4 linked regions of the Astyanax mexicanus genome follow. The protein of the gene in region 2 purifies or fractionates together with the protein of the main gene of each other region. This does not show direct contact. Links are inferred from orthologs where the notes say so. Each region holds a gene or a part of one and is shown on either strand. Other genes may lie near its edges.

Evidence for each region. Proteins that work in one complex are often made in the same cells at the same time.
Region 1: the proteins of si:ch211-140b10.6 (region 2) and polr3f purify together in Homo sapiens (affinity purification with mass spectrometry; 3 studies listed by BioGRID and IntAct, with this or other methods). This does not show direct contact. The link is inferred for Astyanax mexicanus from reciprocal best matches to the Homo sapiens genes POLR1D and POLR3F.
Region 3: the proteins of si:ch211-140b10.6 (region 2) and polr3c purify together in Homo sapiens (affinity purification with mass spectrometry; 3 studies listed by BioGRID and IntAct, with this or other methods). This does not show direct contact. The link is inferred for Astyanax mexicanus from reciprocal best matches to the Homo sapiens genes POLR1D and POLR3C.
Region 4: the proteins of si:ch211-140b10.6 (region 2) and polr2h purify together in Homo sapiens (affinity purification with mass spectrometry; 4 studies listed by BioGRID and IntAct, with this or other methods). This does not show direct contact. The link is inferred for Astyanax mexicanus from reciprocal best matches to the Homo sapiens genes POLR1D and POLR2H.

Annotation. Positions count from the first base shown.
Region 1 is NC_064430.1:23,772,277-23,779,938, reverse strand, and holds the start of polr3f (DNA-directed RNA polymerase III subunit RPC6), read left to right. Parts: upstream 1-4,658; 5' UTR 4,659-4,785; coding exon 4,786-4,841; intron 4,842-6,135; coding exon 6,136-6,253; intron 6,254-7,018; coding exon 7,019-7,086; intron 7,087-7,184; coding exon 7,185-7,252; intron 7,253-7,662. Other genes in the region: dzank1 (double zinc ribbon and ankyrin repeat-containing protein 1), read right to left, coding at 264-364, 727-778, 1,154-1,259, 1,930-2,083, 2,166-2,274. UniProt on the Homo sapiens protein: DNA-dependent RNA polymerase catalyzes the transcription of DNA into RNA using the four ribonucleoside triphosphates as substrates.
Region 2 is NC_064408.1:96,428,091-96,435,073, forward strand, and holds the start of si:ch211-140b10.6 (protein POLR1D-like), read left to right. Parts: upstream 1-3,973; 5' UTR 3,974-4,070; coding exon 4,071-4,102; intron 4,103-6,348; coding exon 6,349-6,423; intron 6,424-6,983.
Region 3 is NC_064413.1:35,638-43,503, reverse strand, and holds the start of polr3c (DNA-directed RNA polymerase III subunit RPC3), read right to left. Parts: upstream 3,005-7,866; 5' UTR 2,845-3,004; intron 2,207-2,844; coding exon 2,060-2,206; intron 1,233-2,059; coding exon 968-1,232; intron 856-967; coding exon 649-855; intron 1-648. Other genes in the region: rnf115a (E3 ubiquitin-protein ligase RNF115), read left to right, coding at 3,851-3,928, 7,083-7,141. UniProt on the Homo sapiens protein: DNA-dependent RNA polymerase catalyzes the transcription of DNA into RNA using the four ribonucleoside triphosphates as substrates.
Region 4 is NC_064423.1:25,662,291-25,670,137, forward strand, and holds the start of polr2h (DNA-directed RNA polymerases I, II, and III subunit RPABC3), read right to left. Parts: upstream 3,005-7,847; 5' UTR 2,821-3,004; intron 1,573-2,820; 5' UTR 1,535-1,572; coding exon 1,462-1,534; intron 1,294-1,461; coding exon 1,210-1,293; intron 478-1,209; coding exon 384-477; intron 180-383; coding exon 96-179; intron 1-95. Other genes in the region: lisH domain-containing protein ARMC9, read left to right, coding at 5,484-5,558, 5,842-5,967, 6,381-6,551, 7,311-7,466. UniProt on the Homo sapiens protein: DNA-dependent RNA polymerase catalyzes the transcription of DNA into RNA using the four ribonucleoside triphosphates as substrates.

The DNA of each region.
Region 1 (7,662 bases), on a different chromosome or scaffold from region 2:
AAAAATTAGCAACAAATTGACAATGTTGACTAATTTGAATAATTTGTAGGCTCAAAATTTTAGTGTCGACTAAAAGGTTAATTTATGTGTGTCAAGTTAATGTATTGTCTATGGCACAACCTGTGCGAGCGCCCTATGCAGCTGCCTACGGTGTCTGTGTAGGTACATTTCTGGGACGTGCGCAACAGGATACGTTTAGTTTTGATGATGAAGTATAAATTGGCTTTAATCAAAAAATAAAACATCGGCATCAGAACACTAACCTGTGTGTGTTTTGTGGGCTGGGACCCAGATGCTGAGTTTAATCGCTGGGAAAGAAACCGAGGGCCTTTTCGAACCCGACGGGATCCACTGAAAGAATTATCTAAAAATAATTTATAAAATAAAAAAATAAAAAATATTTATTAATATAATTAAATCATACATTTTTTTGTAAAAGTCCTGAGGAAGCAACTAGCTGGACCTCTACAATATTTAAGCTTTTTTACTTTTACTTTATTTCTCCTTTTTCTGTTTATATTTGTGATTTTAAAAACAACCAATAATTGAAAAAATAATGGATTAACTAAAGCTGCTGTTGTATTTACTTGTAGTTACGCTTAATTGGGAGTTTTTTAAGCCAACTAATATAATTATAAAACATATTAATAATTATTAACGTTTATGAAAGCTAATGGTTTAGCATAGGTGGCTAAACAAGCTGGATTTTTAAGCCCAAAAACATACCCAAGTGTTTTCCAGAGGCCTCTGCATCTCCATTCGGAGAGGAGGTATGATTCTGTTAAATATACATATTTAACTTAAATTAAACAAAATTATTAAACAACAAGACACAAGTCACATTTAGAAGCACAATAAACTTAAAACGTGAATAAGTGTCACTTTAACTACCCTGTTACACAACATTTTTGGCTAAATAATATAAAATAATAGTAAGGAAAGACATTATTTTTTAATAAACATTACAAATTCTCAATACGCTACACAGGATCAATCACAGGACTGTTTTTTTTTACTGATTTGTGTAGATTTAAATGTAAATGTGTTTTAACGTGTTTTAAGTTAATAGAATAATTATTTTCTTCTACAGCCCAAACTTCGACAGCTGGGATTCTGTAAAAAGTGTGAAAAAAATATATATAAATTAAAAAACCTGCTGGGTGGAGGAATCCAGCTGGTTTTCCTCGTAGTCCTGCAGCTCGGAGGGAATCTGCTCCACCACGAAGACTTTAGTAACAACAGCACTCTGCCGACCATCACTGCAGAGAAATACGAGAAGAACCTGTCTGTCAATCTGAAGCTTAACAATAATGCACATATACAATACAGCAAATACTGGTTACACCCAAAAGGTGCATAGTACTAAATACTTCCATACTAAACCGTACTAAAGAACATGTTGTAAGTTTCTTAGTGCTTTAAGAGTTTGGTTTCTGCTCGCCATAGATCCGATCAGCCAATCAGCTCTGCCTCCTGCCCCGCCTCTAAACCCATACATCACACAGTGCTCCTCCCAAACAGTTTAGTCCACCTTTAAAGCCCTATCCGCACGGCATTAGTTTCTCTTTTATGTTTTTTTTTATCCTCTGTGATTTTATTAAAGTGTAATTACAGTGCGCGGCAGTGGACAAATAGCTATTTTATTAAAGGCGAGGAGATGAAACTCAGAGATGTGCGTCCGGACGGGACAGAGAAAAACAGTAGATAATTCAGCCTGTAATTTTCTCAGAGGACGACTGAGAAAAACACGTACATGATCGTTCTGGACAGGTATAAAATCACAGAAGATAAAAACCCCCATAAAAGAGAAAATTACCCCAAAACCCCCTGAGAAACTGATCCCATCCAGATAGAGCTTAAAATCAATGGTTATCAAAAAATGCATCTTAATATGATTTTTGAGCATATTTGAGAGAGTTGGACCTCTACCTGGTGACGGCCAGCGCTCTCACAGACACTTTCCCGCTGGGTAGGTATATGGGTTCGCTGTAGGTCATGGTGCTGCTGCCTCTAACCTCCGGCCTCCTCAACACCTCCGGTTTACTCCCGTCCAGCGTGTAGAAAACACTCACATCAGGAGAGTCTGAAACCAGAGAAACCCTTTAATTATACAGTTCATACAGTAGCTCTGCATCAGTGCAGGAAAACAGTGAACTCATCCCCACCTGATTTAATCTCCACAGGTGTGCTGGTGTCTATCTCATGCTTGGCTTTACCAGGAGGCGGCACTCGGATGGGGATGATGAACGGAGCTGTGATGGAGCCTGCAGTCATTATCAGTCAGAGGGTGAAGCTGTTCAGAGGGACCAGCGCTCCAAATAATACGCTCTGATATTCTGTAATGAAGACAACAGCATCCATGAAGGATTAAAACATTTTTTTAAATGTACACAAAAACACTATATTTAAAAAATCTCCCGCAGAAGTGCAGGTAGGATATTTACATTGGTTAAATTACCAGTACCAGGTAACGTTATGGTCTAAAAAATATTTTAAAAATACTTATTGTTTAATAGTTTATTGTTTGCAATATTTTTATTGCAAATTTACTTTTTAAATTGCAATTTACAGTATTGTAACTTTCAAGCAGGTGGTTTAATGCACACAAGGAAAACGAAATGATTGTTAAAACACATTAAAACATAAAAAACATGGTTGGGCGCATGTGCAGTGCGCTTTATTATTATGGGTCCCAATAGTAGAGATGGGATGAAAAAAAAATCTCTATTGCAATATATTGAATCATTTACAATGCATTATTGATATATGGTGTAAAATATCACTATTTTTATAAAAACACAGGCTCTCTAAACCCCCTAAGATTTGCCCTCTGATTAGACGTAATGCTTCATCACTCCACAAGATAATTAAATGAAAATACAATTATATAATTAAATTTTATTTCTTTATAATACCTTATTGCATTAATAATATATGTTTAAATTAAAATAAATGAATAAAATGTGTGTTATATCAAGTCCAAAGTCAGTGCAGTTTTGTTTTCCCACAAAATCTTACAGCACTTCATATCTTACAGCTTCCCTCTGCTACTGATAACTTTTATGGAGATGCAGATTTCATTTTCTAGCAGGACTTGGCACACTGCCCACACTGCTAAAAGTACTAATTGGTCTTAATATATAATATTATAATTTTCTGAGATCCTAATTTTTGGGTTTTCATTGGCTGTAAGCAATAATCATTAACAACAATAAATACACACTTAAAATAGATGACTCTGTGTTTAATACATCTATATAATATATGAGTTTCACATTTTGAACTGAATTACTGGAATAAAGTTACTTTTCAATGATATTCTATTTTTTGAGATGCACTAGTATACTTTAAAATGTTTATACCTGTAGTGTAAAAGCTTTAAAAATGATAAATTCAATTTTTTTCTCAGTTGCTCCAAATAAACCATTAATTGTTGTCTCTCTCAGGAGCGCCCTCTAGTGTCTGATAAACCCGGAATCTCCTCTCTACAGATTCTCTACAGATATATAAGCCTCAGATCTGCAGTAAATTACAGATCCTGAGGGAATACAGGTGTTAATCCAGGTGCGGGTCTTTAGCAATGCTCAGCTCCTCACCTGTACCTGTGCTCCGGGTTCAGGCTGCAGATCTCCTGCATGTGTACCGTATCCACCGCTGCAACAACCATCAACTACACCGCACAGCAAAACGCGCTGCTATTGGTCCAGCGCGTAGCCCCTAGCAACCGTGTCAGCCAATGGCAAACGACCTTAGCTTATATGTCAGTCACAGAATAAAAAACATTTTTTTTCAAAGTGTATATTTGTTTATTATTCATTTAAAACAGTAAAAAAATACAATTTTTATACTTTTACAAATAAAAACATTATTATATTATATTATTTTTACGGTATTGTTCTTGAATGTTCATCCAACAGCAGATAGACTCTGAACAGTCTCTGTAACATCTCTATTCAGCTAGATAGATAGATAGTTGGTAATATATATATATATATTAAATATACATATATACATATACATATAACATACAGATATAAAACAAAAGTATTCTAAAAACATACGCATACATTACAAAAATATGATTGGGCGCATGCGCAGTGCGGTTAAGAAGCGTCCAGCTGGTTTTACAGTGCTTCTCGTGTTTATTTTTTGTTTTTGTTTTAAATAGAGACGACATGAACGAGAACTGCTTTTTTATTATTAAAAATAAACTGTAAATACGCTTTTATCTGAGCAGTTCATTTTTAAACAGGCTTTCCGTGAGACTCCTAAACCGAGCGGAACAGGCTGTGGGAGGGGGAAGGACCCGGTGTTTTGTCAAATTGTGTTACTTTGCCAAACCGTGCTTTAAATAAAGTATATTTAAACATAAAATACACAAAAAAACACTATATTTTTATCTCCCGCAGAAGTGTAGGTAGGATATTTATATAGGTTAAATTACTGTATCAGGTAACGTTATGGTCAAAAAAATATTTTTAAAAGACTTATTGTTTAATAGTTTATTATTTGCAATATTTTTTTATTGCAAATTTACTTTTTAAATTGCAATTTACAGTTTTGTAGCTGTCAAGCAGATTAAAAACACATTAAAACATAAAGAAAACGTTTAAAATATGGTTCAGCGCATGCGCAGTGCGGTTTAGAAGCACATATCGACGGGTAGTATTACTGGACAGTACACCTGCGGCACGCTGTTTCTGCTGTGTTTACAGTGCTGTAAATGTGGAGAGGATCTGGATGTTCTGCTGTATCTAGAACCCAGGTTCTGATCGGTCAGCAGTGATGGGGGATGTGAAGGTGAAGAAGGAGAATCCGGATCCGGTGGATATTGAGAACAGGTGAGTTTCAGTAGGCGAGATCAGCCCTGGGTTAAAGTCTGATCACTGAAACCTGCAGGTTCTCAGACTCTCCAGACTCTAAGAGAGCTGATCCAAGTGTATCAGTACATTTTAGAAATTTTTGAATAGTAAATAAAAACGCAAATAAAATAAAACATGTTTAAAAGTTAAAAAAAAGTTTTATTACATTGCATACAGTATAAACCAGAGATCCCAACTTTCATTGAAATCCAGGGAGTCTCCCAAATTTTATTATGGGTTCTCTGATGCCTGCAAAATATATTTACTATTCCACCGATTGTGTGCTATTTGCTGTTGTAACTCTTCCAAATAAAACTTTTATTATTTTTTTAAATCTTTTTTCAACTCTAAATCTAATATTACACATGTTTAACTATTCCAAACATGTACTGGTCAAACTCAGGCAGCTTTACTTCTTTTTTTTTTTTTTTTACAAGTTTCTAATCTGAAGATGGTTACAAAACTCACGTGTCATTTAAAAACATGTTTAAAAGTTTATAAGTCGACTAATTCCTTTAATTTTTCACTCAATAAAGTCTTTATTTTAAAGAAATGGCTATAGACTGCATGTTCAAATAATTAATATTTATCTAAAAAAAATACAAAAAAAATGACTCCTGTTCAAGACACTCCCTCCTGTTACTGGCACTCCCTCCTGTTACTGGCGCTCCCTCCTGTTACTGCCGCTCCCTCCTGTTACTGGAACTCACTTCTGTTAATGGAACTCAGTCCTGTTACTGGAACTCACTCCAGTTACTGGCAGAGACTACTGTTAATTAAGCATCGAATTAGCAAAAACATGAAAAATAGCTAAATGGCGTGTGGACACTGATCACATTCTAGTGATTTTCTCAAAATTTGTATTTTAAAAAATATAAACAAATAAGATCTAAGAACTAATTTAGGTAACAGGACTGAGTGTTAAAATTGGTCTTCTTAGTCATAGTTAGGGTATAATATAATAGAATAAAATTGGAATAGCTGTGGTTGACCCTCTGTGTTGGAGCATTGATCTCTACATTAATCAGAACAGGACCTGGTGAGGTCTAGTTATTTTAGATTCTACTTTGAATTATATAAACAATTTACATAATTACATAATTTTACGCATGTTTTTTTTTTTTCTGGGACCGATAACGTTTTTATTTGATAACTCTGTAGTGTGTCTTATCATAAAACAAGGGGTTCTAACCGGATCATTTATGATGTATAGAAAATTATAGAAAATTATAGAAAAAGCTTGATGATGTATATTAATTTGATTTGTGTTTAGGATTAAGGAGCTCTGTCAGCAGTTTCCTCATGGCATCACTGATCAGGTGATCCAGAATGACCTGCCTCATGTGGAGCCCCAGCAGCGGGCCATGGCCATCAACCGGCTGCTGTCTGTGGTGAGTGTTCAATACCTGCACAGGTACTAACAGACCTGGTGGAGGAAAATCAAGCCTTTATATATTTGCTGTTTATTTATATATTTGCTGTATATCTTTGCTGTCCAATGAAAAAAAAGTATCTCCATTTTTGTCGATTTTAATTTACTACATAATTTGAACAGACAAACTGTCCTTCACACTGTGCCAAAATTTCTTGATGAACAGACTAATAGAAACTCTTCAAAATGACCTGAAATAAACTCTTTTTACATTGACTTCCATTGAAAGTTTACAATGTTTTTTTCTCTCTCCTGTAAAGTTGCTGTTTTGGATGGAGATAAGTGTTTTTCATTGGACAGCGACGATATGCAGTAAAATAATATATATATAATATACAACCCTGAATCAGTAAAAGTTAGGACAGTATAAAAGATTTTAATAATTAATTAATTTTAATACATTTAAAATGATCAATTTAACAAATTATATAAGTTATGCCTAAAATCATGTTTTTAATTACACACACAGTGAGAGAGAGACAAATAGACCATCATAAATGACAGAAGGACGTTTAAAGGAGCTAACCACTAACCTAAAATGAGTTTTTGCAGGGTGGGATGTCACAGAATATTGTCATGATAAATCAGATTACATTTTTTAATCGAATGACACCACTAGTTTGAAGATTATATCATCATTATTTAAATATTTGTTTTAATCTGAATAAATATTAATATTTAATTGTTCACATTCTTAAAGTAAATTTTGCATTATGATCTGCAGGGCCAACTCGATCTTCTCAGAAACAGCAATGGCTTGTTGTACAGGCTGAAGGATGTCCAGTTGGCAAGGTAAAAGCCTTTAACTTATTATTAAAGAGTATTTATATAAAGATTTATATGCTTTTACAACATGTTTTGATGTTTAATGTGTTTTTATGTGTTTCCAGTAAAATGAAGGGCTCTGACAACCAAGAGAAGCTGGTTTACCAGATTATTGAGGATGCTGGGAATAAAGGTAAATAACCTGCTCCTAATTGTCATTGTCAGGGTTTTTGGGGGGCTACGTGGAATCAACACGGGGTCTGAATACATATCATTATGGTTTATTATGGTTTGAATCCTGGTTATGCAGCTTGCCACCAGCTGCCGGAGCCCCGAGTAAGCACAGTTGTCCTTGCTCTCTCTGGGTGGGTACAGTACAGTAGATGGCGCTCTCTCTTTCCCCATCAGCACTCCTAGGGTGATGTGGATCAGCACAAGGCTGCATCTGTGAGCTAATGTATCAGAACCGAGTCGCTGCGCTTTCCTCCGAGCATTAGTGCTGTGATGCTACTTGAGGCGGAGTCTGAATTCATATGTGTTGGAGGAGGCGTGTGCTAGTCTTCACCCTGCTGGTGTTGAAGCATCACTAGTAATAGGAGATAT
Region 2 (6,983 bases):
TACATCCCCACAGCAATGCTCCAAAATATCGTAGAAAGTCGTCTTGCCTGGACAGTAAAGACACTTACTCCAATAAAAGTAGGATAAACTATGTTTTAATAATCTTGATTTAAGAAGCCACGATGCCCATACAGTTTATCGGCCTTAAAGGCTCAGTAGTGAACGAAACCGGTGATGGAGAGGATGAGGATAGTCATGTTACGACTTTTTGATAAATAAATACAAATAAATTTTTTATTTATTTTTTATTTTGATCATTCATTATTTTTGACATAGTGGGCAAAAACAATACAGGTAATATATATCCCACACTACCCTCCATGCTTCACATGTATCCATGGCGACCAACCTCCAGCATCTTCATGCGTCCCCAGCCAGCATCTTCATGCGTCCCCAACCATCCCATCATCCACTATCCCTCCACTCTCTCGTTCTGCACCTTTTAAACGACAGAGCCGCCGTCTGCTACGCTCGTGTCCCTCTGACTACCTGTCTCTGTCTCTTTATCTTTGCAGCTGGATGTGAATTATTCATGAGGACACAAGGCTCCTCTGTTCGAATAACAAAGCCCTGTCATCATCTCATCACACAAACACACACACACTGTATATCGCAAGTGCAGAGCACGGCCTTGAGCACGCTTCATCTCGGGCACATTGTTGTAAATGAAGAGCCACCAATGCACTTAACTCTCGTCCTATTTTAAACAGTGGACGGCACAGCGAGGGATTCCGTTACATAAGCGAACGGGAACATTAAATGGCCTTTGGGTGCCATCCAGGAGAAATTATCTGTACTCTTTTTGTCTCAGGCAGCACTTTCTTCTCGCAGGAGTGTATGGATGAGGCTGAGCAACAGTCACGGCTTCAAGGCCGCTCTGTTTTCACTGTGTCTCTTTGTTTGCCATCAACTCTGGACTATCAGGATAATGTATCTTCTTACACAGTACAGTATCACAACATGCCCTTGACTGATTAAAAGGAAATATCATCAGTCTTTCAAAATATCTGTATTATTACACTGTTATGAAGTGGTGACTTGATGAAGGGGCTCAATCATGGTGAATAAAACCCTATGTCTTAACACTTCTAAAACCTGCATTACAAAATATTATAACACAAAATCTTGAATGGGTTCAAATACATTGTTTTATACATCTGTAATAAGACTTTGGCCTAAAACCTATTTTTGTATATGTTCATCTTCATCTTGCTGCACTCAGAAGAAATTAACCAACAGGAATAAAATATGGTGGGTAGTCATGCCAGACTGCTGTCTTGGTGAAGACAACCAACAAATCCATGTAAGACACTGTGATTCACTGTCAGTCAGTGCCAAGGTCAATGGTTTACTGTCACGAGGCATACATCCAGAGGACCAGGTGTCATGGGCACCTAGTGTGGGGTGCAATTTCTTAAGATGCCAAATCACCTTTTGTCTTCATTACAGGCGTGTTAACAGTCCAGCGTTACTAGTATTAGTAAAATTCAGCAACCAGTGGTCCTGCTCTTTTCTGAAAGCACACTCTGGCACACTATATGTCCAACAGGACAATGCTCATACACACTGCTGCTGCTGTCTTAAGAGCTTGCCTTGAAGACACAGATACTATGCCATGGCCAGCCAGATTATCAGACTTCTCCCAGACTGAAAATGTATGGGACACTCCACCCAACCACCACAAAATCTGCAGGAACTGGGAGAGAATATTCATGCTGCATGAGATGGGTTATCGCATGCCACCATTAGGAACCTCTACAACTCCATGCAGAGAAGTCTGGCATGTTGTGATACACGTGGATAACAAACTAGTCTTGTATGTGTGTAGCCTAATTAATATGACAAATATTGACTGATATTGTTCATATCAGTCATTGCAACTTAACACTTCCTTCTGAGTGCAACTATTTTTATAACCACTTCTTTGATGATGAGGGTATGTACTGCTGTTTCACCATCATCATTCCATTAGGGATCTCATTTATATGAAACTCATTCACAAAAAAAAAACATTTGTATGTTCACTGGTGGCTTTAAATAGTGCAGAAATTTGTTATATTTGTGTTATAGACATAGTGACCCCATGGTGATCCAAGGCCATAAGTTACTATTAAAGATAGAGCATTTCAAACCACTCTGTATGACTTTGTTTACCTCTCAGTGATTCAATTATTCCCTTTCAGTTCAGGTTTCATTCTCTGAAGAGCATCGTTCATTGCCCTAAATCTACCCCAAAACCAGGTTGATCTAGGCAGAGAGCAGCAGTACGTAACATGCAGCCATTTCTGGAGAGTCGCCTAAAATGATGTGCAGATTGAAGGCTATTGTCTTAGTCAGCAGCAGAAACAGCATAATAAACCCTGACAGAATGATGACGCCTGACGTCACAAGCTCATTGGAGGCTGTGTGTTTGAGGGGGAATGGAGGATGTGTCACCAGTCACACACTCTCCATTCTCCCAAACACAGAGTCCATTCACTCAAGCACACAGCCTCACACACATTCCCCCTTAATGCAGAGGCAGCCTTTCCTCAATCACACAGTCTCTCCTAATGCAACATATTAGCTTCACTAACAAGCTCTGTCCTGGACATGCTAACCTGGTTAGCATCCATTTCATTTGCAATTTCATTCCATGTCCTTCACTCTACCAAACATAAAAAAACATATAGAGCATCCATCCTATAAACAAACAAAGCATGCATTCCCATATATACATAGCATCCATTCCCATAAACACACACAGACACACATACATAGCATGCATTCCCTTATACATGTAGCATCCACCCCCTAGCTTACCTATACAAAACACAGCATCCATCCCCATAAACACACAGCTTCATCAGCCAACCTACATACATCCCATTGGTCCCCCTAAAACAAAGCATGCACCCCCCTCTGAACAAAGCAGGCATCCCTATAAAAAAAACAAGGCACACACATGCTTTTTCAACCCGCATTCTCCACCAGTGCCCTAACACATATTATCAATACAGTCACTTAAATGCTCATAGCAATGCATCCCACCTCATCACCTAAACAAAAAGCATCCAGGAGCAGCAGCATCCCCCTAAACAAAAGCATCCCACTTACCCTAAACACACAGGCTGCACAGAGGCTGCATTCCTCAGCCACACACCTTCCTAATGCAATGTCTCATCTGAGAATGCTGCTGGCCAGCTTTATCCAGTTCAGACATGCTCTCAACTTCACCCTCATTCCCTTATACCACATCCTCGCATTAATGCACAGTTTTAACAGCACTGACAGCCTTTAAATCTACATTAGACATGCAGACATCCCACCCAGTTCACCCTCATTAATTACCCATTCAACCCCTAGCATCCATTCCCCCAAACACAACCTGCATTCTTCAATGCAACAGCCTCCATTCCTCCATCCTACATCATACCACCATACATCACCATACATCCTCCATTCTCACATCACAACCTCCATCCATCTATCCATCCCTCCATCCCTCCAATTAACCCTCAACAAAAGACAACAGTGTCCCTGTTCATCCTGCATCCTCCTACCTCTCTCCTCGTGCTCGTGCTCCAGTCACCTAGTAGTTCTCGGTCACATCCACCCCCAGCCCCCACGCTCAGCCGCCCCTTCGCCCCTCAGATCTCCCCCAGCAGGCTCCGTCCTTCTCGGCCATCAGTTGCGGCTCCTCTCCGCTGCTTCAGCTCACTCCAGCCTCTCTCTCCGGCTGTCGGTCTGACCAGCCAAATCGCGCCCTCTGCCCCGCCTGATCAAAACACGACCTACATGCTGGGTTTTGCCCTGTCACAGATCGTAATACGCATAATTACTATTTATTTCCCAAGTCTAGTCACACACATACACATTTCAGTCCAAAAATTAACTAATGTCATTGCTGTATTTAGAAACTGCACTACGATTCTCTACTATTTCAGCGCTCATTCGTTCAGGCACACAGCCGCTCAGCTATTGGTCCTAAATTGGGTCCTCACGGGTGAAAACAATTTGTAGTCTTTGTAGTCTCTAAGCAATAATAGAGGAATCGCTGTAACTGGAAGTTAAAATCGTCCGTCAGTGTGATGGATAAGGATACAGCCAGTGAGTTGGAGAGGTAGGTCGTTTAACAGACGATGTTAAGCTGTTTAAATGTGATTTAATCGGGGAAATGGGATTTTAATGCTGAGCGAAAGCAGTGTTAGCCTGTTAGCTTAACGTCTATTACTGCAGAACTGAACATGAAAACATTAACCTAGCTAGTTACCTGAATATTCAGGCTAATTCACTTACATCTGGTTTGATTACATGATTTAAATCGCATATTTTTGCAATAACGAAAACCTAATGGAGATGTTGGATCTCGAACTGATCTGTGTGGTGAATTTTAAGTGTAGCTAGTTAACGTTAACATAACGTAGGTTAGCTAACTAAGTTAATTAGCTTGCTTTGGCTTCATAACAGAGGTAAGTTAACTAGCTAAGCTACAAACTGATCACTTGACAGCAGGGCAGGGTTGCCAGGTCCAAGAAAAATATTCAGCCCAAACTCAGTCTAAAACCCGCCCTTCAGAAGCTTAAACTAGCCCAAAATATCTGTCTGTCACAGGATTGAAGCAAATGGCAAAACAACTATTAGTGTACGACTTAGTATTATGTTTATAAGGGGTTTATTATCCGTATTGCTATTTATCTTTAAGTCATTAATAATATTGTAACATTTATGATTTATTTGTTTTTTATAACAGTTTTATATCCCAGTTAAGAACATTTATCGGTAATAGTAACAAAATTAGCAAAAAATAAATAAAAATAGAACTGACTTTTATTTACTTATTTCTGTTCTTGCCCCCCCTGAACTCTCTTCTCTCCTCTATAACACTTTTTTCATTGCCAGTAACTGGTTAGCTACAAACTAGGGGTACACTGAATATTTTTTTGTTTGAAACTGTACAAAATGAAATATTTAGCTAAATATCAAACGTGTTTTAATTTGCAGGTATTCATTAATTTTACCACATTTTTAGCTATTGCATAATGCAATAGCTTAAAAGCATTTTTTCTATTGCAAATATTTTTTGTTTAAATTATGTGGTCTTATTTGGCTAAACACCCAAATAATTATTTTTTTCTCAATAATAATTTTGGTTGCAAAATATGCAACCTTTTTACATTCAAATACTGTATTTAATACACAGCACACACATTGACATTAAATATGATTGATGTGTTAAACAGTCAATGTTATTAGAAATGTAGATAGTTACTGCCTATTTAGAAAAAAAAAAGTAATTATGTGTGTAACATAGTGCAGCACAGTTGCGGTACACTAACAGTAGCAGATGAGAATTAGTGCCTGTTGCAGTTTGAAATAGCAAAGGCTTATTGTCCTAAAAACAGTTGTCTCCAAATGGTAAATTGGCAGTAGGGGAAAAGTATGAACATGTTCTTAGTATTTAATGTAACTTAATGTAAAAAGATTCTGTTCTGATAAATAAACAAAAAAATATATAAGTGTATAGAAATAAATGTTTTATTCAGCATTTTTTTGTACAATAATGCATATAATTGTGCAGTATATTCAGATAATATAATAAGAACATTATTTTAAAGTGGATTGGCACTATAAATATTCTATATGTACAGTTTAGTCTTACAGAAAACTGTTACCAACCTGGAGATCCTCTTTACAGCAGATATTGATTCCAAAACACATTCGATACACCAGACCCCTTTGTTGATCCTATTCAGTGATAACAAACACTGAAGGCAGCCTGTCCAAGCATTCTGAAAACATTAGAAGCTAAAGCTGGAGCAGAATAGGGCTGGACCTAAACTCTAAAGGGTTGATTACCACTGATTGGAGGAGGGTAGAGTAGCATAAACCCATACTTGAGTAGATGCATTAAACAGAATCAAAAGCAAAATACAACATTCTTACTGTATTAGCACAAAAATTATATTTTAATTGATAGAAATATTAATGGAAATTGAAATTAATTACGTCAAGTTTACCCAAAAAGTAAAAGTATTATCTAAAAAACACTCAGAGAAGGACAAATCAAAGCTGTGCTTGAGCACATGTAATTATTTAAATGTTATTAGTTACTCCTTTCCTCTGACACTGATACAGTGGGTGTGCTATGTGTGAGGAATGGACTGTGTTCTTGCCGCTGAGGCAGCAAGTTTCTCGGGCACCTGTTTTGTGAACTGCGGTCAAAGGGCAGCTGTGGACAGTTGGTGATGCCACTAAGAGGTGGTGACTCAGCTGCTGGACTGGGTCGCTGCAGGACACACACGTGCATTCATTTCCTGTTGTCTGTTTTATGGACACTGAAGAATTAATCCATTCTCCTCCTCACAGACGTGCAGTTGAAGAACTCCTGAAAGAGGCCAGTCGAGCCAAAGTACGGGCAGAGACCATGGGGCCAGCGGGGTGGTGAGTCATTGGTGTCTATAACCTGTTTTTATTAATTCTGATGGATTTTTTTTTTTTTCCATTAAATAGTATCATTTTACAAATGTTGAGCAACAGACAGGTAAAAAAATGAATGCAGAAGAAAAAGGAGCAAAATATACAAAAAATTGTGTGGATGCAGTCATCTTTACAGACAAAGATAGATAGGAGGAAGTGTCCGCATTCAATGCACACCTTGCAGAAAATCCAAAAAACATGTTTCAACAGTCGTGGGCTTAACATGGTAAATGTTAGCAGTGATACATTAAACTTTTTGTTTATTGAGTAAATAAACCAACCAAAATTGTTCCATGTGAAGTCCAGGTGTGATCCACTTTTATTGAATTGTCTTTTCAGCAGCAGTACATGAATTTCTATAGCTTTGTCTGAATAAAGCATAAAGCAGGGGTGGACAATATTTAATCGTATTCAGTTTTATTTAATACAACATTATCATCAATACACCCATACAGTGCAGTGTAAAGTTGTTAGGCTGCCTCTCAAGTGCAATGATAGAAATGGATAAAAGGGTACGTAGTAGT
Region 3 (7,866 bases), on a different chromosome or scaffold from region 2:
CCTAAATAATCTCTTCAGTGTTGCATAAAGTCCTTTAACAATCTTTTCCCCAGAACTATTTATGAGACCCAAAACTGTAACAACTGAAATCTGAGGAAACATCTTATTGAGATTAATTGTTTAGTACACAAAGAGAGAGTGAAAGTGAGTGAGAGAGTGAAAGAGAGAGAGAGCAAGTGAGAGAGAGAAAGAGAGAGAAAGAGAGAGAGAGAGGTGGCTGACAGGCAACTGAACTGTAATCTACATCCCCAAATCAGAAAAAGTCCGGACCGTGTGGAAACAGCACTGGATCAAAAACCGTCATTTAACAAAAAACAATAAAACCACAAGAGATGACTTTACACAACTTAATCACCAACAAACTCTACAATACAGAATTACTAAATTTACTAACACCACTTACAAATTTACTGTGCACAACACAAGCCTTATATTACATTACACAACAGGCCAGTGATTGTGACAAATAAAAGAAAGTAAATGGAAGAAACACTGTGGTTTATTAAAATCTATATTTTCCAAAACTGCCCCAACCTTTTCAAAATTGGAGGCAGTGAATCCAGCACGCTGCACCCCGGCATCATTAGTAAAGCCAAAGGTTTTGTATAGACTAAGAGCAATTTTAGGAACCAGGTTCTAGATACTGACCGGTGAGGTGGACCTGTGGTATTAGATAGCAGTCTGGGTGAGTCTCGGGCCGAGCAGGCTGGGGAACAGCGGAAGCGTCCGATGATCCTGAAGATGCTTTTCCAGCTGTTCCCATACTGTCCACTGGAGGGCAGCGCTGCAGGAAATGGGTCTCCACCAACCGGGTAAACGCAGTGATGACCTCACTGTATTCCATACTCTGACCATCTACACACACACACAGAATTGTATCACTGTTTAATTTTATTATAAGAAACCACTACCCTGTGCTTCCACTCTCTGGCCACTTTATTGGAAACTCCTACATCCGCACACTTACCCTCCATGCTGTGGGTCAGCCGGTCGGCGACGGTCCTCACGGTGCAGCTCATGGTCATCTGACCCCTCTGGAGAATCTCCTCGATCACCAGCTCGCCAGTGTCTCCGTACAGGCTCTTGGCGGTGTAGATGTATCGTGGGTAGCGCAGCATGTAGAGAATACGCTCACAGTTAGCCGTGTACTCCACCGGACCCCCGGGACCCCGGCGGCCCGGTCCAAACACACACATCCCATGCTGGACCAGCACACACAGAGACTTCTTCACCTAGGAGATCATTAAAGGGAAAGTTCAACCAAAAATCTACAGACAATTAACTGGAGCTATAAGGTTATCTGAGCCAGAGCTTAGTGAATAATAAGTTATTACAGTTCTTACAGGAGCAAAATCACACAGCCATCATCTCAAACCCCAGATACAATTCTTCAGCCAACACAGTTCTGCTCTCTGAGCTGTGCTTATTTAGTTAATAGCAGGAGACGCTAGGCTCATTTTGCTAAAAATCTGAATTTAGACCGGCACAAACACCATCACCGCACAACATGTTCTGGAGTATAACAATTTACGTCCAGTCGATTAACTTTAGCTTAGCATGCACTTATTATAAAATGACACTCAGAAATAAATCCATACAATGTGCTTAAATGTTAAGGTGTTCCTCAAGGCAGCAGACCTTTTTGTTTTTGTTTTGGTATCACTGTCACTGTTTTTACCATTATTGTGTTTTGTTGTTAATGTTACTATTTTGGTATTATTATCATTCATTTAATTATTAATTTTGTATTGTTTGTGTTCTGTGTACCCTTGGGTGGGTGGGATCTGGGTTGTTGTTTGTAAAATTGTGAAAAGTGAAAACCTATAAATAAAGTTATATAAAAAATAAAAAAAAACCTTTAGCTTAGCATGTTCTGTAATAAAGCTGTGATTGGTCAGGGGGAGGGTACTGTAATAATAAGTCACCATGTTTTCCTCCTGGTGAAAGATTGTATAATTCATCATCTGTGTAATTATTTAGTCCTGTAGTGTACAAACCACACCCACTAAAATATTTCTCATTACAGTAGAGTATAGTAGAGTATAGTAGAGTACAGTACCAGGTCGAGTGGGGTGCTGGTCTGATGGGCTAAAGCTCTCAGGTTTAGAGCTCCACTCCTCAGGAGCTCCGTCCCCATCTTCTCCACCACCTCCCCAAAATGCTCCTGCAGCAGCAGCCCACACAACCGCACCTCCTGCGCCGTCATCTAAACACACACACACACACACACACTTACACACATCACATAAACACACTAAAATCACACAATTTTAAGTTACTAAGTTAACGTTAGCTGTTAGCTGAGTTAGGTAGCATTAGTTGAGTTATTGAGCTAGCTGTTAACTGAGTTTGTTAGCGTAGGTTTAGTTATTGAGTTTGCTATTAGCTGAGTTAGTTAGCGTTAGTTATTAAATTAGCTATTAGCTAAGTAATTTAGCGTTAGTTGAGGTACTAAGTTAGCTGTTAGCTGAGTAAGTTAACGTTCGTTGAGTTACTAAGTTAGCTGTTAGCTGAGTAAGTTAACGTTAGTTGAGTTACTGAGTTAGCTGTTAGCCGAGTTAGTTAGCGTTAGTTGAGTTACTGAGTTAGCTGTTACATTAGTTAGTTAGCGTTAGTTTAATTATTGAGTTAGCTGTTAGCTGAGTTAGTTGAGATACTGAGTTAGTTGTTAGCTGAGTTAGTTGAGATACTGAGTTAGTTGTTAGCTGAGTTAGTTGAGTTAGTTGGTTGAGTTATTGAGTTAGGTGGCGGATTTGGCGGATTTAGCCGGGTAGCGCTGCTGCGGCTTTCGGGCTGTAGGTAAGTATCCCTCCGCCTCCCCAGTAAATAAAGAGCCGTACTAACCTTTGGGTCTCCGGTCTGCACTGCAGTGCTGCTCCGCACCGCTTTAATAAACCGGGCAGGAACTGAATTATTACAGAATTTAATACTGGATTAATCTATAAACCCTCTCACACACACCGGCTACTACACACACCTCACACGCGCTTACAGAACCGATTCACTGATTCACTGATTCAAATCCATCACCAGCCGATTCTGTGCAGTTTCAAAAATCCGCACAAACAATAACTATCGCTAGTATTATTGTTATTGCTGTTTATAATAATAATAATAATAATAATAATAATAATAATAATAATAATAAAAAGAAGAATATCTAGATAGATAGATAGATAGATAGATAGATAGATAGATAGATACTTTATTTATCCCGAAGGAAATTTAGGCATCCAGCAGCAACAACACAATACAATAAGAAACATCCTCAGACAAATCAAAACACAGAAGAACAGAAAATATATAAGGCTATAAAAACCTAACTATACAAGGTAAGGATCTATCTCTAAACGGAGCAGTGCAGATGTTGCTAATGCTAATTAAATAATTAACAGAGTAAAGTGCAATGTGCAATGACATTGATTACGAAAGTGATTGATGTGACATAGAAATATAATATAAATATGCATACGTTAGAAGACAGTTCTAAAAAGAGAATGTGAAAATGTGAATACCCAATCAGGAGTAAAGTGTATTTGAATGTAAGTGAGGTTGGGGAAATGTAAATAATTAAGTGATTGGGCCTGAATAACATTAAATAAACGTTGTTTTGGTTGCATCGTATAAGAGCTGAAATTCGGAGTTTAAATTAAATTAGTTATAATATCTGTGTAAACAGGAGCACAGCGCGACCTGTAGGAAAACGGGGGTTACGGCGCGCGATCAAAAAGCTAAGAATCAAAAGAGTCGGTTCGCTGAATTCAATCGAACGGGCACATACGGCGTCACGGGCCTAGCCCCGCCCCGGCGCTGACGTCAGCGCTCGGGCCCTCTTCCCCCTGTGTGTAAGATGGCGGAGGCTGCTGCGGTTCCTCCGCACCGCTTCTTCTGTCACTGCTGTAAGGGCGAGGTGAGCCCCAAACTCCCGGTAAGAACCGCCGTCCGCTCGCCGCTCTCCTCCCGCTTCGTGCCGCCGCCGCCGCCGCCTGCCCGCTGTCCTGCTTGGGGCAGCTCGGCTCGGGTTAGCGCCGTTGTTTTTGGGTTGAACCAGAACCGGATTTACAGCTTTATTTCTGGGTTTAAATGCGGACTATAAAGCGGTTTAAGTTATGTTTCACTTGTGTGGCTTTTCCGAGCTGTTAAACTCACCTCCTTCCGCTGTAACCCGGTCTAAGGCTCGCAGCGGCGGCTGTGTTTCCACTGTTGCTGTGATCTCAATTCGGATTCTGAGATCCAGATTTGGCCGCTGGTTTATAGTTGTGTGCTATATAATCCGGTGTGAGAGTGAGTTGGTACTGTAGTTCAGTAACGTTAGTTCAGAGAGTATCTGGGTTAGGGGGGTTTCGAGTTTGAAGGCCACAGTTAAACTGAAAGTGATATAAAAGAACTTCCTCTGTTCTGATCTGTTTTACTTTTGGGATTTAATGCGGATTAAATTGCGGTTTAATATGTGTTGAAATAATTTATTGATTTGTTGTGGTGGTAACAACACACAGCTATCAGAACCCTCAAAACATTGCCGCTCTCCGAGTTTACACTGATCACAATTCAGTTCCTGAAATCCGGATCAGCTGCATTAGCTGTTTGTGTAAGTGTGTGTGTGTGTGTGTGTGTGTGGGGCTGGTAGCACAGAAAGCAGCTGATCCTGATTGGAAACCATAAACAAACTGAAAGTGAAATAAAACTAAATATTAAAGAGTTTAAAGGGGAATTCCTCTGAAATGTGACCAATCGTGTGTGTTGTATTTTGTGTTTGTGTTGTATTTCGTGGTTAACTTTTGGCATATCACCATATATCTCAGTACAAAATATTGTAATAAAGATGTTATGAATATTAAGCATATTTCTGATATTTTTATGTACATTATGTAAACACCTGTCACTGATGATCATTACAGGAAGCAGATTGTTTTTCTGAAGTTTGCAGGTTCAGTGTAAAGTTAGTTTTAAAGTTAATTTAGCTCAAAGTCTTTATTTTATGGGTGTGAGAATGTGATTCTGTTTGCAGTAACTCAGTGTAAGTAAGGAATAGTTTACATATGAAGATTGGTGTCAGAAGTGCTTGATTTAGTGTTGTCATAGTTAGTAATTTTTAACACTCAGATTATACACTGTGAGCTTTTCTAAAATGTAATGTGAGCAGTAAATGGTATTGTTTAGAGTAGCAGTGGATATATTGGTGAGCACAGTTCTGTATCTGATAGTGTTAAATCAGTGGTGAACATGAACAGTGGTCCGAGCAAGTCTGTGTCCTTAATTTATATAAATTAATCTAAGTTTTTGTAATCTAAGTATGGTAAATTTATTTTAACACTTTTTTTATATAGCAGTATTTTGACACTCAGATTGATAAGTCTGCTCTGAGAAGCCTTTTCTCTCCAGCGCTGCTCGGTCCAGTTAAAACGGACTCCGGTTGGTTTGGACTCTTGTTGCAGTTTATGGCTGGTGTGAACCCGTGAGAGCAGGTGTCTCTGTCCTGCTCTAAACCAACTCCGGTGTGGTTCTGTTTTTGGTGAGAAGGTGATCTGACCCGATATTCAGATATACTCCTTATGTTTGAGCTAAACTGCGGTTCAGGTGCAGTTTAATCTGATTTATTACCCAGATAATTACTACAGCTATTAACTAATACTAATCTTTGCTGCTGCTGTATGCCAAGCTGTTTGACATTGAACGCTGTGTATGCAGCGTTCAATGCTCACGGCCATGCAACTGTGTTTACTGCACAAACATCTCATTTAAAAAAACTAGCAAATTTCCAGCATTTAGTGTTAAATCAGCTTCACACTGAGCAGCTAAACACAGTGGTCTGGAACACAGAACCTTCTAGCTATATTTACCTTCTTGCTAAGACAGCTCTGGCCAATTAGAGGAGAATGTGCTTGCGTGGTTGGTTGGGAAGCGCTTTGCTGCATTTAGGTTTGTACCTGTGTGAAAACAAACCAAACCGAGGGAGAAACTCTCCCAGTAAACAAACTTTAGAGCAGGTTTAGAGCAGAGAAACCAACTACAGGTGTAAAACACTATTAGACATGGTGTCTCACCACAGTTACCGTACTGTTTATTATTCATAATTCCAAAATGTGCTCAAAACTGTTACAAAAAACACAATAATATATTATATTCACCAGGGAGGCAATATGGCCCTAAAATAATATCACAGTGTTTCAGGGTATATTTATGATAACTATATTTTTAGTAATGTGGCAAAACATATTCAGCTTCAGTTTTCAGCATTTACAACTGCAACTAAATAAATGATATTTATATAGTGTAACTGTATAAAAGGTTCACTAGAAGTGAAACTACATGAGTTCTGATAATAAAAACGAAAGATAGAAAATTGTACAGATTTAATCCACATCAAATCAAACAACAGGATCTACTAATCTAACAGCACAGCGACATCACTCTTATTAAACAGAGGTTAATTTAGATCGGAAATATAGTTCGCATCACCAGTTAGCCTTTAGTCATCGTGGCTAATCAATCCACTGTTGTGATCTTCATAATAAGAGTCTTCAGGCCAGCTCTTATTTGCTAAGTAAACTTTTAATCAAAATTTGGTCTAATATTAGTTTTTCATTTGTGTCTCGTTTTAAATTCTTTTATGTTTGGCCGGTATATTTTATTATTACAGAGCAACACATTTCAGCTTTTAATGTAAAAATGTATTAGAGTGTAGTTATTTTAAGTAGTGTAGAATCTCTTGAAATAACCGTATAAACGTAATATATATGTGTTACCGTATAAACATAATAATAGTTTAATGTTTATAGTAGTTAAATGTTTAGAGTGAGTAAAAGAGGCAGCTGTAATAAACTGGTCTAGTGTTGTAATATACAGTATTTTCAACATCTGTTATTAACTGATGTTCATTCGAGGAAGCTTTTAGTATCAGAAGTATCAAACTAAATACAAATGTCTTAGATATGGGTATTTTATTGCTGGTTAATTACAATAATAGAGAGAGAAATATTAAAGATAAAGCTAGTTTTAATTGGTGAGTTTTAGTTATTTACGTGGCGTTTCTGCTGCCGGAGTTTTGGAGAATGCTAATGTCTGTTTGTTTGTGTGTTTAGGAGTATATCTGCCCGCGTTGTGACTCTGGGTTTATCGAGGAGGTGACGGAAGATTCCAGGTGAGATGATTAATCTGGTTTTCTGTCGCTCACTCTGATGGTATGCTGAAACTCCAGCAGGACCGGTTTCTTCCTCAGCCTGCAGTAAAAAAAGGCCTGAAGTCCAGCCCTGGGGCCAAATGTGGCCCCTGGACAGATATTAACTGACCCTCTGCTGCAGTTTTGCATCATCAGTTTCCCACAATCACAGTCTGTTTTTTCATTAGACTCAGCAGAAGCTGGAGTTATCTAAAAAACAGAGCCCACAGTTTCACTGCAGATCAGTTTAAACAACTTCATTCAGTACTGCAGCAAAAAACCATCATCACAGACACATTTATTTACAGTTACTGTGCTAAAAGTAAATGCAGTGTTAAATTAAGTCTTTAATTGTACATTTTTGCTAATTAATATTTTGGACACAATATTTAGAATATTTCTAAAGTAATTTTATATAAAGAGAGCTATATCTAAAGGCCTTCAGTATGATATGGTTTAATCTGGTGTAATGTAACAGACTGTGACACGATATACTAAACTACAGTGTCTACATGGCATCCTTCAACCCCAGGTTGGATTTTTCAGCTGTAAAATCCTGATTAATTCTAGTACTCTAGTCTGTGTTTACCTACTGTCTCTAAAAGGTTAAACACTAAAAACAATTACAATTAAGGACTAAAAGCATCTAAAAGGAAAATCAGTGCTACGTGTTCCACAGTTTGAAATCTTGATCTTTTTATGGGAAA
Region 4 (7,847 bases), on a different chromosome or scaffold from region 2:
GGGTGCCAAACATTTGTATGATTGTAAATATATTCTTAAGTATGTGTAACTTTATAGGAAACAGAAAGATGACAATAATGACACTTGACACTTACAGTCGTGTAGCTGCTTCTGTTGAAGTCTCATCACCTTCAATTTTATATACTTTGCCATACATCACATAATCAAACTGATCCGCCCTGGAGAAAAAGAACACAGACTTAACATTTAAAAAGTAATCATTTCAGCACAGAGTATGCATTTATTGGTAATCATTTATTAAACATTTCTTTCTGCCAACTTATTATTATTTTTTTTTTTTTTGCAGAAGACTAATTTAATAAAACAAATACCATATATTGTTATGTACAGTAAAATGATACTAATATGTAAACAGGTTTTACCTGGATGGTCTGTCGTCTTGAGGGTTGTATTCTCCATCATCTGGAGTGCCATCTTCGTACAGTGTGCTAGCTATTACCAATCTGAATTTGTCCCCTGAAATAAAGATACAATATATTATTTAACTTATTTAAGATTATTAAACATGTTCCTTTACTCCCACAGAACAGGTGTGTAAATGTTCACACACTACTTTCATTTAATTATTTATTTATTTATTTATTTATGTTACCCATATCCGACTCTGTCTAAACGGTTTGCGTTTTATAAGAGACACGCATGCACCACAGAGCAATGCTTCATGTTAAGTTTCACTTTAATCCCAGTCAGTATTTCAGGAGCTATAGTTCAGGCTGTTGGTTTATAGCTGAAAATTCACTGGAGCCTTCCTAAAAAAAGGACGGTTAAATTTTAATTTATTTAGATTTTTTTTCCTTCTACGCTGCAGCTGCTTTCTGCAGCCATGTTTGGCCAATTCATTAGGAACACGGTGTGGCTGCTACCTGGGTCTTCCAATATTATTACAAACATAAGTTCAGATACTAGATCTGTTACCTAGTTTATCTGCCAATTAAGCCCTTAAATCACTGCTGCATTCCATTTTATTTTAATCTACTCACAGCCATTACTCTCAGTCCTTTTTCCTATACATTGCTGTAAAAGTCACATTAATTTCAGTCTATATGTTTATATAGTGCCACATTGCCATGCATTAGATATGTATAGCAATTTAATACCACAAATTGACGTGGCCCATTTAGGAAATGAAAATGTCATTCAACACATCTAGTCACATTTTGGGCCACAACAACAACACGTCTCCCTTACCAAGATCAACAGGATAGATCTGAGTATTCACATCCAGGATGAGGTCCATTTTAAAAGACTCACTCTCACAGTGAAGCCGAGACACTGGAAGAGAACAGATAAAATTAGCATTATCTCTGTGTGTTTGTGATCCAGATGGATTAACTCACAGTTTCTACAAGAACTGTTTGTTTTGTCACAATTCCCATACTGGAGCATCACTAACAAACGATAAATGGGTTAAAATTAGGATTTGCTGCAGGTTGGTCTCACCTCTGTCAAACTTCTTCCCATCTGGGTCGATATCTTTCACATCAAAAATATCTTCAAACAGAATTCCAGCCATCTCTACAGACCACTGCTGATCTGCCCAGGAAGCTCACTCTGATAAAAAAAAACACACACACAGCTGTACTGGTTAGTTAACATATAAATCAACATCTAACCAACTTTAAGACACATAAGATCATCTACAAAGAGGTAAACGAGAAAGCAGGAAGCTAGCCAGTTGACTGCTCAGTATAGTTAGCTAACTATATAACTAGTAAACTTCACGGAAAGGAACTTCACCATTCAACCCCAGCACTTTATTTAAACCACCATATACAGCCCCCTATACATCTACCCACTCTTATTAATTTATTAACTGATTATTTGTTTCAGTCTGAAACACAATCAGGCTCTTGGTTTATGGATGAATGTAAACATGTCATGTACTGTAGCTAGCTAGCTAGATAGATAGCTAGATAGCTATATACTTTATTGATCCCCGAGGGGAAATTTTGGACACAAAAGTAACTAGGAAACACATTAACTACAATCTTAGATAGCTAACCTAGCTTAGCCAACATTTCCCTGCAGTTCTGCTTGTTTTTCGATATCTACAAACTGCTTATTATAAGTCACTTACTTTAACACTATCGCCAAAGAGGAAAACATGTTAGTAGCTAGCTGGCTGGCTGCCGTGGTTAGCTAGCCTAACTAGATATGTAACTATGGACATGAATTTAGCCATTTAATCCCAGACCTTCAATTAAATCACTATATGGGTTATATTTGCCTAGTCTTATTCATATATCAATTAATGGTTGTTGATTCAGGCTAAATCAATACTTAGGCTCTTGGTTTATGGATAAAAGTAAACACTGGTTCCTGTAACGTTACTCTAAACAAGTTAGCTAGAATCTTAGCTAGCTAACCTAGCTTAGCCAACATTTTACTGTAGTTCAGCTTGTTTTGGATGGATAAAAAAACTCTTTATAAGTCGTTCACTTTACCACTAACTCCAAAGAAGAAAACAGGTAAATAGATAGCCAGATAGTTGGCTGCCCAGGTTAACAAACCTAGCTAGATATAAAACCCTGGACATGAACTTAACCCCAGACTTTTATTTAAATTACTACATAGGTTATATTTACCCACTCGTTTTATGTGTTAATTAACGCTGTTTGATTCAGTCTGAAACACACGGGGACTCTTGGTTTATGGATGAATGTAACGTTAGCTAAACACTGGTTCCTCTAAACACGTTAGTTAGCACCCTAGCAAGCTAGCTAAGCTAGCTTCGCCGGTATTTCCCTTCAGTTCTGCTTGGTTTAGGTAAAAAAAAAATAGTCTTTAAAAGTCACTTACTTTTAAGCTGATGCGCTTTAGTCACCAAATATGTTGAAACGCGTTCAGACACGGCGATAATCCGCGTGAATTTCTACTAAATTAAACCTCTGATAACAGGTTTCATTCATTTATTACTGAACTCCAGCGGAACACGCGCCTTACTGTTGATTCTTTACGGCTTCACGTGTACTTCCGGTGGCGCCGAAAGCATTTTTTATTTACACATACATTTTAAATATTTGTATATATTTTTTAATTATTATTTATTTACTTATTATCGTTATTATTATTGCAGCTCCAATAAAATTTAATCTTTGTGTAATTTAACACAAAACAATAATAATAATGCTGTCTCCGAACTCTGGCTTGGACTACATCACCTCGGACAAAAACTACAAATCCTCACGACACTTACATCCTCTTGCCGGATGGTGTTGCCAGGTGTAGAGCGTCCCAAAAGCTGTTACTATAGTGACTAACAGCACCAGCGCCTGTGAGGCTAGGCTAAGCTAAACTCCACTCGCTGCTTTTACGGACCTGCGCAAACATTTTCTGGCTTTTTAACCCTTCCGTTTTATAATATAAGGACATTTTTCACTTTGAGAAATGAGTAGTGATATTTTTATTGCATTTAAGGGTGTTTTTGACTGAGGTGAGTGCCGCGCGGTGTTTATTTACCTATGAGCATAGGGGCTAAGCTAACAGTGCAGCTAATGCTTTTAATGCTTTCTTTCAGAGTGTGGAGTTTGTTACACGCTTTACTGAGCTCTAAACGTTATATTACACTAATTTGCTAGCATGTTATCTATTTCAAAAACAACATAAGCTATCTAAGAAGGCGCTGCTAAACTGTTTAAACTGGTTAAACTGGCCAGCTGGGTTACTTAAACTCACTAGTATTTATGTCGATGGCTGTAGTTTGGTAGTTAACACAAGCTAGTATTGTTGGTTTTGGTTCTTTTTCTGTTCTTATGCTGAAAAATAAAATGCAAGACTACATTTTCGAGACTTACCATCAAACTGTGCCTAAAATGTGAGGATGCTCTTTTAATCTTATCTTGCTGCATTTGGATTGTATCCACGTGGTTGTTAAAAATTCATGGAGGCAAGGGTTTATCCTCCTATTTCCAAGAAAGTGGAGAACCTAAACCTTAAAAGCTGAGGTAATACAGCTTATATCTCTCGTTTGCAGACACAGAGCAGTTTATCTCTCTATGGCAGTGTTATCCTCAGGCAAAAAAACATATTTTGGTTATTACACCATTTCATTAAATTCTTATATTTTTATGTATTTATTTATCACTTTTGTTTTTATATACAATCTTCCAACACAGTGAGTCATAGAAGTGGACCATAAATAAAAATATGTATATGTGAAGAAATAAAGACATACATGTGCCTTTTTATGTTCTTAGTATTTTAGTGCACCTAGAAAATCAGAATATCATTGAAAATGTACTTTATTTCAGTAGTTCAGTTCAAAATGTTAAGCTTATATAGAAATGTATTACACACAGAGTGGTCTATTTTAAACGTTTGTCTTTTACTTTTGATGATTATGGCTTTCAGAAAAAGAAAATCGATGTCTCAGGAAATTTGTATTTTTTTCTTTTCATTCTGGTAACTCTGGCCACACCATGGCCACACCCTCAGCTATGGACACACTCTCAGCTATGGACACACTCTCAGCTATGGACACACTCTCAGCTATGGACACACACTCAGCTATGGACACACTTTTAGACTTACTAATGCCTATAATAATATTTTTATAGTTCTACCCTATTTTGCACTAGTAGTTCATTCACTAGTTCACTCATCTACTGTTTACGTATCTTTTGCACTGCTAAATTTAAATTATTATATAACTGTGTATTTGCACTTTCTGTGTGGCTGACATCAGTTTTCCTAAAGACACAATATCCATCCATCCATCCATCCATGTGCCAAGTCCTCTCCAACCCATTTCATTTGGAAATAAAGAGACCAAAGTCTGTAGAAAGAGTGGAGAGGCACACAGTTCAAACAGCTTGAGGTCTAGTGTGAAGTTTCCACAATTAGTGATGGTTTGGGGAGCTATGTCATCTGCTAGTGTTGGAAACCATTTTTTTTTTTTTTCATCAAGTCTAAAGTGCAGTTGTTTTCCCAGAAAATATTACAGCACTTCATGCTTCTTCCCTCTGCTGACAACTTTTATAAAGATGCGGATTCATTTTTCAGCAGGACCTGGCACACTGCCAAAACTGACACTGACTTTTGGGTGTTCATTGGCTGTAAGCCATAATCATCAACAGTAAAATAAACAGATCACTGTGTGTGTATCACATCTATATAATATATGAGGTTCACATTTCAAACTGAATTACTGAAATAAAGCAACTTTTTAATGATTCTATTTTTTTGAAATGCACTACTATTTGTTGATTTTGGGCAAAACTATGTCACATTTGTAAGGGCCCTCTTGATAACGCATGGGTGATTCAAAAAATCAGCTTGTTATCAAAACAATAAACAAGAGTCTGAAAAAAGTTGCCAAACAATAAAAATCTCCCAAATAGTTTCATGCAGTTTATCAGCATACTCTTCATACAATGGTGTGTTGAAGTAGGACAGTTATGTATTTAACTGATAAGTGAGCTAAATGATTGATCACTGTCTCTTCTTTTGCAGGTTGAGGATACATGACTTCCAGAAAGGCTCAAGAGATGGGGGACATTCTGGCAAATGAAGCAGATCTCCTTTTAATGATAAAAGAGGTCAGTCTGTCTGCATGTTAGATTGTTCAAATGGATGACTGGATGGTCACTTACCAATGCAGAGGTTTTTGATGGGCTACCACACTAAAATGTCTGCATTTGATTCACATTTTTAAATTTATTTGACCCTATAACCCCTTTAGTTTGCAGCATTGGACTTCACATTTCTTTTATATTAAGCTTGACACATATGAATTCTGATTGCATGCTCTGTATGTTGATGATTTTCATAGCCATTTCATAAGCAAAAGCATATGCTCAATGTAAAATTGATTATTTTCAGTACCTGAAGTTCTCTGAGTTTGAGGATACGGTGAAGATCTTTGAGAAGGAATGCAAGAGCAAAGGAAAACCTGTGCCAAAAACACCAAGCAGCCCTCCTGTAGACTCCAAAATCCTAATCATCCAGGTAAGGCTAATTCTGAAACATTGCTAGAGTGCTGGGAGAGTGTTTCATAGTGTGAAATGTCAGTACATTTGAAAAGCAAGATGTCCATGAAATATTGATGATCTAAAACACATTTACAGGGAGGAATGGTTTGAAATTCCGTAAAAGTTATTTAGAGCTGAATTAAACATTTGGTGGATTTGCTGGGTTTGGTGGTCACTTTTTCTAGCCTTCTAACATGAATGTTCAATCAATGTGCTGAATTAAAGAAACATGTACCATAGAGCTATATGGGTTTTCAGTATAGTTTTAGATAGTATTTGTCTATCCTTATGACTTGATAATGACCAGATCACGTTTTGTTAGTAACACAGAGTTTCATTGTTGCAGTAAAATACAATAAATTAACTTCTTAAAATGTGTTTTGTCTGCAGAAGGATCTGATCAGCTCATTCGATGATGGTGATATGAAGGTGTTTTTTGAACTGTGGGCAGAAAACGTCCCTGTGGATATTCGGGACAGTGATCCGAATGTCCAGAAACTGGAATTCTATCTACACATTCATTTTGTAATCTACCCACTGAAGAACAATGTTGGAAGACAGGTGAGAAAAATTAAAAATAAATTTAAGGCTTGGTTTTCCAGATAGGGATTAAAGAGGCACTAAAACCTAAACCAATTTTTTTGTTCTTTAACATCTGAAATGTGGTACTTTGAAATTGTGAAACATACCCGTCCTGCTTTTCCTAATCTTTAAAAAACACTTTTATTGTGGTCATTTCTGCCTCTGCGGCACCGGCTCAGGTTCAACTGTGTTATAGGCAAGGATGATGTGTCCAGTTTAAGCTAATCCATCCTGATCAGGATTTACTAGCTTTGGTATCATGATATTAGCCTTCTCTAGCCAGCAGGTGTCCCCACTGCACAATAAAACATTTTTCAGCTGTGACTACCTACTATATAGCATACATTCACACTGATCAGCCACAACATTAAAACCACCAGCCTAATATTGTGCAGGCCAATTGTGTACCCCCTTTAAGGCTTGTTTGATATTAGGTAGGAGGTCCATGAACATCAGTGAGCCATGAGCTTCCATAACCCTGTCACTGGTTCTCTATGTTGTCTTTCCTGACTAGTTTATATAAGTACCACTTCATAAGACCTGCATAATGTTTTGGACATGCTCTGTACTCTGCTCTGTCATCTAGCCATTATAACCTTATATCTTCAAATATGTTGTTGATTTGTTACATGTTATAATTAATTTGTCTACGCATGCACAAATCAGTTTATTTATTTGCCGAAATGAACATGAGAAGATTTCTGATATGATGTACTTTTGTTTGACGTTTGTCTGCAGGATAAAGCTGACTTTGATGAGCGGATTAGCCACTTTAAGCACTACCTGGAGACCCGGGGGGCAGCACTGAGCCAGACCACAGAGTTTCTGCCCTTTTACGCTCTGCCCTTCGTACCCAATCCTGCAGTTCACCCGTCCTTTCAGGAACTCTTCCAGGTGCCCAGAGTTTCTTACTAGTACAGACCTCTTATCATCCTCTCATCATCCTCTTTAATCTATCTGCTGGCAGACAGTTCTCGCAGACAGTTCTCACACACTCACATTTTTTTGGAACTTCCTTTTTTCTGGAAAACCCCTTTTGATGCAAAACACACTACTGTACTGTAGTGGAAAAGCCACGAGGAAAGTTTGTTTTTATCAGTATGATTGTAAATCATGCTAAATATATTCAAACACACAAACATTTTTTTTTCCATCGACCTGTTGACCTTTTCTCTAGTTCAGTATGCAGTAGTTCAACACTGTAAGCCTAATTTATAGTAAGTTGAATTTACTTAAATGTTAAAGAGGTTATTCATTGCCTCATGTTTTAAAAGT